Linked DNA regions of Oryctolagus cuniculus. The protein of the gene in region 1 purifies or fractionates together with the protein of each later gene. This does not show direct contact. Links are inferred from orthologs where the notes say so. Each region holds a gene or a part of one and is shown in the gene's direction. Other genes may lie near its edges.

Region 1 (3,500 bases):
CTGAGCTGGCCGAAGAACTTCTACAGTGGTTTTTGCAGGAAGAAAAAAGAGAATGCTTTGGAGCTTGTCTCTTTACTTGTTACGATCTTTTAAGGCCAGATGTTGTCCTGGAAACCGCATGGAGGCACAATATCATGGATTTTGCCATGCCCTATTTCATCCAGGTCATGAAGGAATACTTGACAAAGGTAATGATACCTCTGAGCATATTCAGATCTAACTGTCTTGAGGATATATAAAAATCTACTTACAGGTCTATTTTTTCAAATTTTTTTTTCTCTAGTAGAAGTAAGTAATTTAGGTGATGATAAAATATTCCTGTTTTTTAGAAATTTTTATTAGCTAACAAATGACATTTGTTGGAAAGAGTACAATCATAACTTGTCAGAATATTTACCCTTAGTGTATTTCTGGCAATGAATAATCATATTCCGTATTTCGTTGTCTATTAACATGTGATAAAAATGTATCAAAATAGGAAAAATCAAAATCATTGTAACTTAGGTGGCCATAACTAATATTTTAAATTTCCCTTTATTTGGTTTGTTCCTGACTTTAATGTCTGTGCCTGTTCCCCCTGGGAAAACTGTATATGGCTTCTTAACATCTGGTTGATTTTCACAATTTTTGATATAACCCCTGACTTTAAAATATCATAGGAGGTTAATAATTAACCACGTTTCTTAAAACAACTAGAACAAGCTGGGGGTATAATCTACCTTATAAAATTGACTTGTTAATCTTAGTGTCCCTTTTAAATGTTATTTTTTTATTCACCTTATCCTTAACAGTTTTTAGCTTTCTGGTTTTAGAACATTTTAAAATGATTACAAAGGATCCATTTTGTCAAAAAAAAAAAAAAAAAAGGCTTAAAATCAGAGTCTCACGTCTGATACCTTCAGCATGACTAAAGGGGGATAGAAAGCACTATTCACAACCCCCAGGACACTGAAGTTTTCCTTAAGATATCACCTAATTAAATACTGTTGTATTTGGTTACAGTTCTTAAAGAATTAACATTTTCTTTGTAAAGTTCAGTGTAAGAGGTAAAAACAGTTTGCCCTATCTTAGCTTACATGAGAATAGCTTCTTTTCTTATGCATTATACCAACTTTTGAGACCTGGCTCTAAGCTGCTGTTAACCTAAGTGCCGTAAATTTTACTAGTGATTAAGCTGCTTTCTTTCACACTGACTGTAGCATAAATTCTTCTGCAATAAGCTCTGAAGTTAAAAAAAAATTTCTCCATTTTGCTTCCAGTATGCCCTTTATTTTCACTTCTCTTATACTTTTTTAGTGGTTAGATGTTTCTCCCTAAACCTTTGTTGCTGATTCTACCTTTTTATGCTCAATATGGAATTTGATTTTTTTTCTAAGCTGCACCTTCTGAATTCCTTTGCAGGTTGATGCAATAAAGGAAAAGGTGAAAGTTGATTCTTTTCCATCTTTAAGTCTGGAGGACTAAGTCTAAGGAATTTGCATGATTTTTTTTTCCTTCCTTTTCTACACTGCTGCTGCTGCTTTTTCCCCCCCAATAAATTTTCACTAAAGCCTCTGCAAGTCCCTTGAAACATAACGATAATAGAGCTGTAGGACATTAGTAGATGTTTGCTACTAATCGGCTAATAGGCTTTAGGAAGGGCAGGAGGCTAATCAGTAGTTGGTTCACAGTCTGTCTTAAATACGTTATTAAAAACTGAGCTTGGTGAGTTTTCATATTAATTCTAAACTATCAGGAAATTTCTTTTCCTTGTCAGGGTATCTGACTGTAGTAGGAGTTTCTTAATAACTTGAAATAAATTAAAACAGCCTCTGGTTTTATTTTGTGAGCTTCCTGACAGTTGTTGAATTTATATATGTGTATACATGCCCTAAAAGGCTTTTTGGGGTTTTTTTTTTATATTGAAGGACTGTGATCCAGTTTCTGATCTCTTGATTCTTACTAATTTTTTGCTGAAAGTAGATAGAAGAGATACTAGCTGCTTCCGAAGAGACTTTCCTCATGTTTCTCCAGGTGTCCAGTTCTTATGGTGCTAGTCTATTTTTAAGAAGACTCAAAACCTTTTTATATGAGAGCCAAGTTTGCTGTAATTGTTGCTAAGCAATATGGATTATTTCTGTTGATAACAAAGCAATATTGACTTCTTCCTGAAATAAGGTACATAACTTAAGATACCTAAAATTTGCGCTCTCTTCAATCACTTGGCTTGTCAGAGGTCAAATTGAGGCACCTTTTGGGTGCTGCTGCCTTCATTGGCTTGTCTCCATCTTATATAAATAAAACAATAAACTTCCAAATTCTGGTTAGAAAAGGATGGGAAGGTAAAGGAGAGTTGAAACAAATTGAAAAGTATTTAAGTGGGGACAAAGCCTTGGGATTATATTGAACCAAACTGGAGTCACCACTGGAACTTAGGGCAAACCTGAGTAAAATGCATTGTGTGTGAGACCCTTCAGCAGCTAGTAAGCAAGGCAGTTAGAAAGCGTGTGTGTGAAAAAATAGGTAATTGAACTGCAGTGTTATGCATTGTTCTCAATCAAGCATGTACAAGTCATTGCGATTACATCATACTACTTTGAAACTATAGCATTGCTGTGGGCTGTGTGTGTTTCTTGAGAGCCTGTATAGCAACAGTCATCCTCAGATCTCACTTCTTGCTTCAGTACTTTTGCCTTTTTTTCATGCACACATACACCAGAATAACTGACTGCATGTTAACTTTTCCTCTGCAGCATATTGCAGTCCCTGTGGAAAAGCCTTTTAGTGAATTTTCAGTAGCACAGATGGAACTGAATTCGGTGACTTGCTTACCTGTAATTTTTCATTTTTAATGCAAGGATCAGAAACTTTTGTTACAGCTCTTAACAAAAGCTTGTGTTCATAAAAGCCTTCTCTGCTTTCCTTTTTTGAGCAATCTAAATTGGGTTAGTGGAAACAAATTGGATGTTACTGTGCCAGAGGCTGTCCTATTACATAGAAAAATCAAAAACTTTTTGCTTAACTTGATGCTATTCCTTCAGAATTTTTGTTGTTTTTTCCCCTCTTACAACCAACCTGCCTGTATCTATGCCTGGGCATTGTGGTATTGCTAGCTTTTCTAAGTCTTCCATGTATTTCTGTAATAGGATTTCTGTGTTCAACATCTGAGTCAGACATTAATTTTTTAAACAGGTGTTAGTTCACTTTAGATTCTTTTCCTTGAAAGTCCTGAAATGTATTATGGTGGTTTTTGGTTACTTCATTTTTCTTAGAAGTTATTAATGTACAGGCATCCATGTAATTTTTCTGCCTAACTCCTATAGTTCACTCTTGGATACCGGTTTAGTAAAACCCCCATCTGACCCTTGATGGCACAGAAGTGTGCTTTAAATTCGATAGCTGTAACAATTTTTATTTTAAGTTTGGATGCCGAACAGTGGGTATTTAACATTGTGCTTATACTTAATGATAGTCTTTAATTTGATACTGGGATGATTTGTAGTGTGATCATTCAGTCTGTA
Region 2 (3,338 bases), on another chromosome or scaffold:
GCCATGCTGCACCCCGGCCCAACCCTACTCCTGCTCCTCCTCCCCAGCCCTGCTTCCCAATGCCCCCGCCCTATACTTACCCTGTGGGGGCCCAGCAACCCCTGACATTACCCCCAGCCCAGCACCCCTTCTCCTCTGGGATCCCCGCAGGATTTCCAGCCCCCAGGATTGGGCCGCAGCCTCCTGCTTCTCGAGTGGCATTTGGCCCTCAGCCGGCCCAGCAGCCCCTTCCGCTCCAGCATGCACCCCTCTTCCCATCCCAGGCCCCAGGACTCCTGCCTCCACAACCCTCCTACCCTTTTGCCCCCCAGTCTGGTGTCCTGGGGCAACCACCACCCTCCTTGCACCCCCAGCTCTACCCAGGCCCCTCTCAAGAGCCTCTGGCACCCCACTCAGGGGCTCTGCCTTTCCCCAGCCCTGGGCCCCCTCAACCTCCCCATCCCAACCTGGCCTATGTTCCTGCTCCTTCCCCCAGGCCACTGGGCCCCCAGGCCGCCCCTCTCTCGATTCGAGGCCCACCTCCTGCTGGCCAGCCCAGCCCCAGCCCCCACCTGGTGCCTTCACCTGCTCCTTCGCCAGGGCCTGGCCCAGGCCCTTCTCGGCCCCCAGCAGCAGAGCCACCCCCTTGCCTGCGCCGAGGCACTGCTGCCGCAGACCTGCTCTCCTCCAGCCCAGAGAGCCAGCACGGTGGTCCTCAGCCTCCGGGGGGTGGGCAGCCCCTGCTGCAGCCTACCAAGGTGGATGCAGCTGAAGGCCGTCGGCCACAGGCCCTGCGACTTATCGAGCGGGACCCCTACGAGCATCCTGAGAAGCTGCGGCGGTTGCAGCAGGAGCTGGAGGCCTTTCGGGGTCAACTGGGGGACGCGGCTGCTCTGGATGCCACCTGGCGGGAGCTCCAAGATGCCCAGGAGCAGGATGCCCGAGGCCGCTCCATCGCCATTGCCCGCTGCTACTCACTCAAGAACCGGCACCAGGACGTCATGCCCTATGACAGCAACCGCGTGGTGCTGCGCTCAGGCAAGGACGACTACATCAATGCCAGCTGTGTGGAGGGGCTCTCCCCATACTGCCCACCCTTAGTGGCTACTCAGGCCCCACTGCCTGGCACAGCGGCTGACTTCTGGCTCATGGTGCATGAGCAGAAAGTATCAGTCATTGTCATGCTGGTGTCTGAAGCAGAGATGGAGAAGGTAAGTCCGAGTTGGCTGGGTGCTCCCTGGGGGAGTGGGGGGTGGTCCTGAAGATCACCTGTGGCTCCTGTCTTGTCTGCTCCTCAGCAAAAGGTAGCACGCTACTTCCCCACTGAGAGGGGCCAGCCCATGGTGCACGGCGCCCTGAGCCTGGCACTGAGCAGCGTGCGTACCACTGAAACCCACGTGGAGCGTGTCCTGAGCCTGCAGTTCCGTGACCAAAGCCTCAAGCGCTCTCTCGTACATCTCCACTTCCCGACTTGGCCTGAATTGTGAGTCTGTTGCCTTAGATCTCTGGGAGTGGGTAGAGGGAGCGCCTCAGGTTAGACCTGGCTCACGGACGATGCCCAACCCCGCAGAGGCCTGCCTGACAGCCCCAGCAACTTGCTACGCTTCATCCAGGAGGTCCACGCACATTATCTGCACCAGCGACCACTGCACACACCCATCATTGTGCACTGCAGGTAGGGAGCAGGCAGTAGCCCATGGGCTCCTCCTCCGTGGGCCCCTGGCCTGGCCTCACACACCGCCCCCCTTCTTGCCTCAGCTCTGGTGTGGGCCGCACAGGGGCCTTTGCACTGCTCTACGCTGCGGTGCAGGAGGTGGAGGCTGGGAACGGGATCCCGGAGCTGCCTCAGCTGGTGCGGCGCATGCGGCAGCAGAGGAAGCACATGCTGCAGGAGAAGGTGAGCTGGGGGGGTGGTGGCGGCCTCGGGCCCAAGTCCCCCGCCAGCTGACCAAGCCCAGTGCCCCCCTGCAGCTGCACCTCAGGTTCTGCCACGAGGCAGTAGTGAGACACGTGGAGCAGGTGCTGCAGCGCCACGGCGTGCCCCCTCCCTGTAAACCTGTGGCCAGCACGAGCACCAGCCAGAAGGTGAGTAAGGGTCCCCGGAGGCTGCGGGCAGCCACAGCTTGCGCATCCCTCTCCTCACTGACCGCGTCTTCGCAGAATCACCTTCCTCAGGACTCCCAGGACCTGGTTCTCGGCGGCGATGTGCCCATCAGCTCCATCCAGGCCACCATCGCCAAGCTCAGTATCCGGCCTTCTGGGGGCTTGGATTCCTCGGCTGCCAGCTTGCCAGGCCCTGCAGAGCCCCCAGGCCTGCCGCCAGCCAGCCTCCCAGAGCCCCCCCCGATCCCTTCCTCCTCTCCACCACCTCTCTCTTCACCCTTGCCTGAAACCCCCCAGCCTGAGAAGGAACAGCCGGTGCCTGAAGCCCCCAACTTGGGGCCCCCCTCCTCCTCCCTGGAGCTGCTGGCCTCCTTAACCCCAGAGGCCTTCTCCCTGGACGGCTCCTTGCGGGGAAAACAGCGGATAAGCAAGCAGAACTTTCTCCAGGCCCATAATGGGCAGGGTCTGCGGGCTGCCCGGCCCTCTGATGACCCCCTCAGCCTTCTCGATCCACTCTGGACACTCAACAAGACCTGCTGAGGCTTTGCCTGTCTGGTCCACACTACATCTTCCTTGCCCACCTGCTCATGCCCAGCCAGGCCTCTGCGGGGAGCACAGCCGCTGGTTCCCATTCCTGCTGCCTTCATCCCTCCCTGGCCCAGCTTGTGCACTGCGGGCCGTGGGTCGGTTCTGCTCCTTTGTGGGACCTGACATTTTTCAGTTCTTTGCTACTGAAATAAACCACCCTGTTCTGTGGCCAGTGTCTCATAGTCTGTTCCCTGCTGCCTTGCGGAGGGAGCCCCAGCTTCAACTCTGTTGAAAATGTGGAAACCCCTCCCCCATTTTCCTCTTTGAGCAACTCTACAGGGGATCTAGGCTCAGGAAATGGTGCAGGAATTCCTCCAGGAGAGAGGAGTGGTTCACAAGACCTCTAACAGATGTTATTTTTAAAAAATGTTTATTACAGTCAAGAGGCAGCTGCCAGAGGACACCCAACTCCTCCCCCAAGTCTCAGTCCAGTGCATTGGCCCACAAGGCTTCTCCCCCCTGTGCCTGGGCACGGAGGGCTCAATCCAGCTTCTCCAGCACAGAGGGCACATAGACTAGGCTGAGCTCACTGCCAAAGTTGCAGACAATGGCAGCATTGTCCAGCACCAGGATCTGGCGGGCAGGCTGGGCCTCACTGTTCTTCCCCAGGTAGACTGTCTGTAACAGGTCCCCGTAGTTTAGGTCCCAAAAAGAAACACATCCCTGGC
Region 3 (3,302 bases), on another chromosome or scaffold:
AAGAGCTTGAGATAAATAGTCAGGAAAATGGGCCTGTAGCAGTGCCCGGCTTCTTGGCTCCCTGGCTGATGGGCTGGCCTGGCCTTTGTGGCTGTTTGCCCCTTACCTGGTGGCACGGCATGAGCTAGACTTGGGGGCAACACCTGGCCTGTGTGACCTGGCTGGCTGGACCTGGCCAAGCCGGGGCAAGGTCACACACTACCTTGCATGCCTTGCTGTGCTCTTATCCCTTGCCTGTCTTGTCTGCTGCCACCTCATGGTGTGTGCCGTCCTCCCAGTGTGTCGTGTGTCTAACCCTCTCTCTCGTTGCTGTCACTCTCCTCTTCTTGCTGGCGTCATTTCTCTCATCCCATCTCATTGGCTGCCGTAGCAATAGGTAAGGGGCCTGTCAAGCTGCTGCCCAGGTACAGGTGGGTGGGGGACCTTGCCCACCCCACCCCCACCCCTGTAGTCCTTCATTCCTTGAACTTGTCCTGGAGTTGGATCCCAGACAAGAACGGGTGGCACAGCTCCATGGTCCCATGGTACTTCTCCCGCAGAAGGGCAGAGCCTTCTCCAAACTCACGCTTTGTGTAACTTCTAGAGGCGTCAGCTTTGCCCACTGCAGGGGCTGCTAGTGGGAGGACTAGAGAAGAAGCAGGCTCTCATTCTCTCATTCTCTCTTGTCCTGGAACTTACCAGGACGCTAGAGGTGGCAGCTGGTTATAGGTAGGAAATTGGAAGCAGGCCTAGCAGTCAGGGACATGGCTGCCCAATCTGAAGAGCTTTAGTTTATTAAGCTTACGTCTGCCTTCCTGCACTGCCTCTTCACTTCCCTGTTTCTCATGGTCTTTGGCCCAGCTCAGGCCACCTCCTGTGCCCCACTGGTTCCCTGCTGGTGTAGGCATTGGCTATAGACTGTGTGACAGACTTCAGCTGTGAGGAGGGTGGGGCTCTCAGCAGCTGTGGTTGGTCCCTGAGGTTTGCCTGAGCAGTCCTGTGCACCCTTTCCCCTCAGGAGGAATGCAGTGGACGCCTTCCGGGTCAATGTTATCCACGCCCGGCAGCAGGTGCGCAGCCCCGTCACCAACATTGCTCGCACCAGCTTCTTCCATGTTAAGCGTTCCAACATCTGGCTGGCAGCTGTCACCAAGCAGAATGTCAACGCTGCCATGGTCTTCGAATTCCTCTATAAGATGTGTGACGTAATGGCTGCCTACTTTGGCAAGATCAGCGAAGAAAACATCAAGAACAATTTTGTGCTCATATACGAGCTGCTGGATGGTAAGGCCAGTGGGGCTGTGGGCCTAGGGTGGGGATGAACCCGACTGGGCCCAGCCTGGTAGCGGGAGCTGGGTGGAAGCTGCGGTGCATGCTGAACTTTCTGGAGTGTCTGCTCTCTCGGGCTGGGATTAGGCCAGTTCAAATCCAGGCCTAAAGGCTGCCCTGAAGTGGAACACAGAAGTAGGCCAGCAGGTGGGGGCTGGGGAAGTTTCAGCTGGAACGTGACTCTGGCTTCCGTGCCTGGACCTCCCGTATTCTCTTCCTTCCTTGGTGGTTTGCACCTTCGTTCACCTCCTCCCAGCTCTCTCTCCATCTTGGCAGCTGCTTTGGAGCCTGGGAAAGGGCGAGGTGTTACAGGCCCCTTGGGGTGCACTGCTACCTCTGTTTTCTGAAAGGTGTGCTCTGCACATGAGCCCTCCCACTTTCCCATCATCTGTTTTCTAAAGAAAACAAGGTCTCAGCCTTTTGACCTCTGACCCACTGGGCACGTGACACTTCTGCTGATTTCTTTACTTGAAAAAAATCAAACACTGTCCTGTTTTCTTACAAAGCACAGAACCCAGGGTAAATGCTGCAAAGCTGAAGGGAGGATGCTGTGAATGATTCTCCAGGGTCTTTGCCAGCTTTGCTGGCCAGACGTGTCCAGGCCAGGGGAGGGACTAGAATGAAGGCACCTTCAGCTCTGTCCAGGGCCTTATGATTCCCTTCCTTTTGCAGAGATCCTGGACTTTGGCTACCCACAGAACTCTGAGACAGGCGCTCTGAAAACCTTCATTACCCAGCAGGGCATCAAGAGTCAGGTACTCACATTGTACAACCACTGTTGGGGTGGAACCCAACTTCCCTTCATGCCAGCTGGCCCCAGCCTTGTCCGAGCTGACTCATGAGTCCGCCCTTGACAGGAAGTACTGGCTTGAGCCTCCTGCCATGACTGTAGTCCTCTTTTGTCCATGTGGCTCTCCCCACCGCCCAGGCAGGAGCAGCTGACTCAGCATCTCTGTTACCGGGAATGCATCTCAAGCAGTTTCTTCCTGCACTGGGGGCAGGGGTGGGCTGTCTAGAGGAGCATGCTGGGCCTGCTTCTAGGATCCAGGCCTCATGGCCTTCTCCTTCTTTTCTGCCTCTCCTGCGGCTTCGTGTGGGCGCCTTGTTGGTCCTGCGGCCTACAGCATCAGGTAAGCCGTCCTGTATGTCCACCCTTGCAGCTTTGCGCTGTTTCTGCAGGCCTTGCACCATGCAGCAGGTGGAGACTAGAAGGGAGGAGGGATGAGGCTGCAGTGGGGACCCAGACAGGAGGATTAAAAGGAGAGAGGAGTGAAACCTCTGCTGCATCTCTGCCTCCACTTAGACAAAAGAAGAACAGTCCCAGATCACCAGCCAGGTGACTGGGCAGATCGGCTGGCGGCGAGAAGGCATCAAGTATCGCCGGAATGAGCTCTTCTTGGATGTGCTGGAGAGTGTGAACCTACTGATGTCCCCACAGGGTGAGGGCCCTCTTATGGGACAGCCAGAGGAGGGGCCAGGGCAGGATGCAGAGCCTGCCTGTTTGACTCAGCTGCTCCCATTTATCTGTTTGGTCACCAGGGCAGGTGCTGAGTGCCCATGTGTCCGGCCGGGTGGTGATGAAGAGCTACCTGAGTGGCATGCCCGAGTGCAAGTTTGGGATGAATGACAAGATTGTAATTGAAAAGCAAGGCAAAGGCACAGCTGATGAAACAAGCAAGAGGTGTCTGATTCAGGGGAGCAGTGGGAAAGGGCAGGCCTTAGAGGGCTCAGTGGGGTCTGGGGGAGTTCTTTCTCAACTTCATTTCTGTTGTAATCCTACTGTCTTCCCAAGGGTGTGCTTGGCTAGTTGCTCTTGACACCAGTTCTAAGAGCAATGAGAGATGAGGGGTTTGTCTACCCTGCTCTCGTCAGAGGACAAGCCCTTTGGTGGGTCTTCAGGACCGAGCTTGCACCTGCTGATGCCTCTGCCTGGTGTGCCTGAAACACCCGAGTCCTGAGCAGCAGCATCTTGAGGGGAAGGGCATGCAAAGCTC

What was found. Proteins that work in one complex are often made in the same cells at the same time.
Region 2: the proteins of CLTC (region 1) and PTPN23 purify together in Homo sapiens (affinity purification with mass spectrometry; 3 studies listed by BioGRID and IntAct, with this or other methods). This does not show direct contact. The link is inferred for Oryctolagus cuniculus from reciprocal best matches to the Homo sapiens genes CLTC and PTPN23.
Region 3: the proteins of CLTC (region 1) and AP2M1 purify together in Homo sapiens (affinity purification with mass spectrometry; 3 studies listed by BioGRID and IntAct, with this or other methods). This does not show direct contact. The link is inferred for Oryctolagus cuniculus from reciprocal best matches to the Homo sapiens genes CLTC and AP2M1.

The regions. Positions count from the first base shown.
Region 1 is NC_091448.1:34,984,464-34,987,963, forward strand, and holds part of CLTC (clathrin heavy chain 1), read left to right. Parts: coding exon 1-188; intron 189-1,401; coding exon 1,402-1,422; intron 1,423-3,500. UniProt on the Homo sapiens protein: Clathrin is the major protein of the polyhedral coat of coated pits and vesicles. Two different adapter protein complexes link the clathrin lattice either to the plasma membrane or to the trans-Golgi network.
Region 2 is NC_091441.1:101,439,993-101,443,330, reverse strand, and holds the end of PTPN23 (tyrosine-protein phosphatase non-receptor type 23), read left to right. Parts: coding exon 1-1,190; intron 1,191-1,277; coding exon 1,278-1,462; intron 1,463-1,549; coding exon 1,550-1,654; intron 1,655-1,737; coding exon 1,738-1,876; intron 1,877-1,950; coding exon 1,951-2,064; intron 2,065-2,139; coding exon 2,140-2,622; 3' UTR 2,623-2,838; downstream 2,839-3,338. Other genes in the region: SCAP (sterol regulatory element-binding protein cleavage-activating protein), read right to left, coding at 3,151-3,338. UniProt on the Homo sapiens protein: Plays a role in sorting of endocytic ubiquitinated cargos into multivesicular bodies (MVBs) via its interaction with the ESCRT-I complex (endosomal sorting complex required for transport I), and possibly also other ESCRT complexes.
Region 3 is NC_091435.1:93,758,148-93,761,449, forward strand, and holds part of AP2M1 (AP-2 complex subunit mu), read left to right. Parts: intron 1-997; coding exon 998-1,263; intron 1,264-1,980; coding exon 1,981-2,063; intron 2,064-2,611; coding exon 2,612-2,747; intron 2,748-2,847; coding exon 2,848-2,989; intron 2,990-3,302.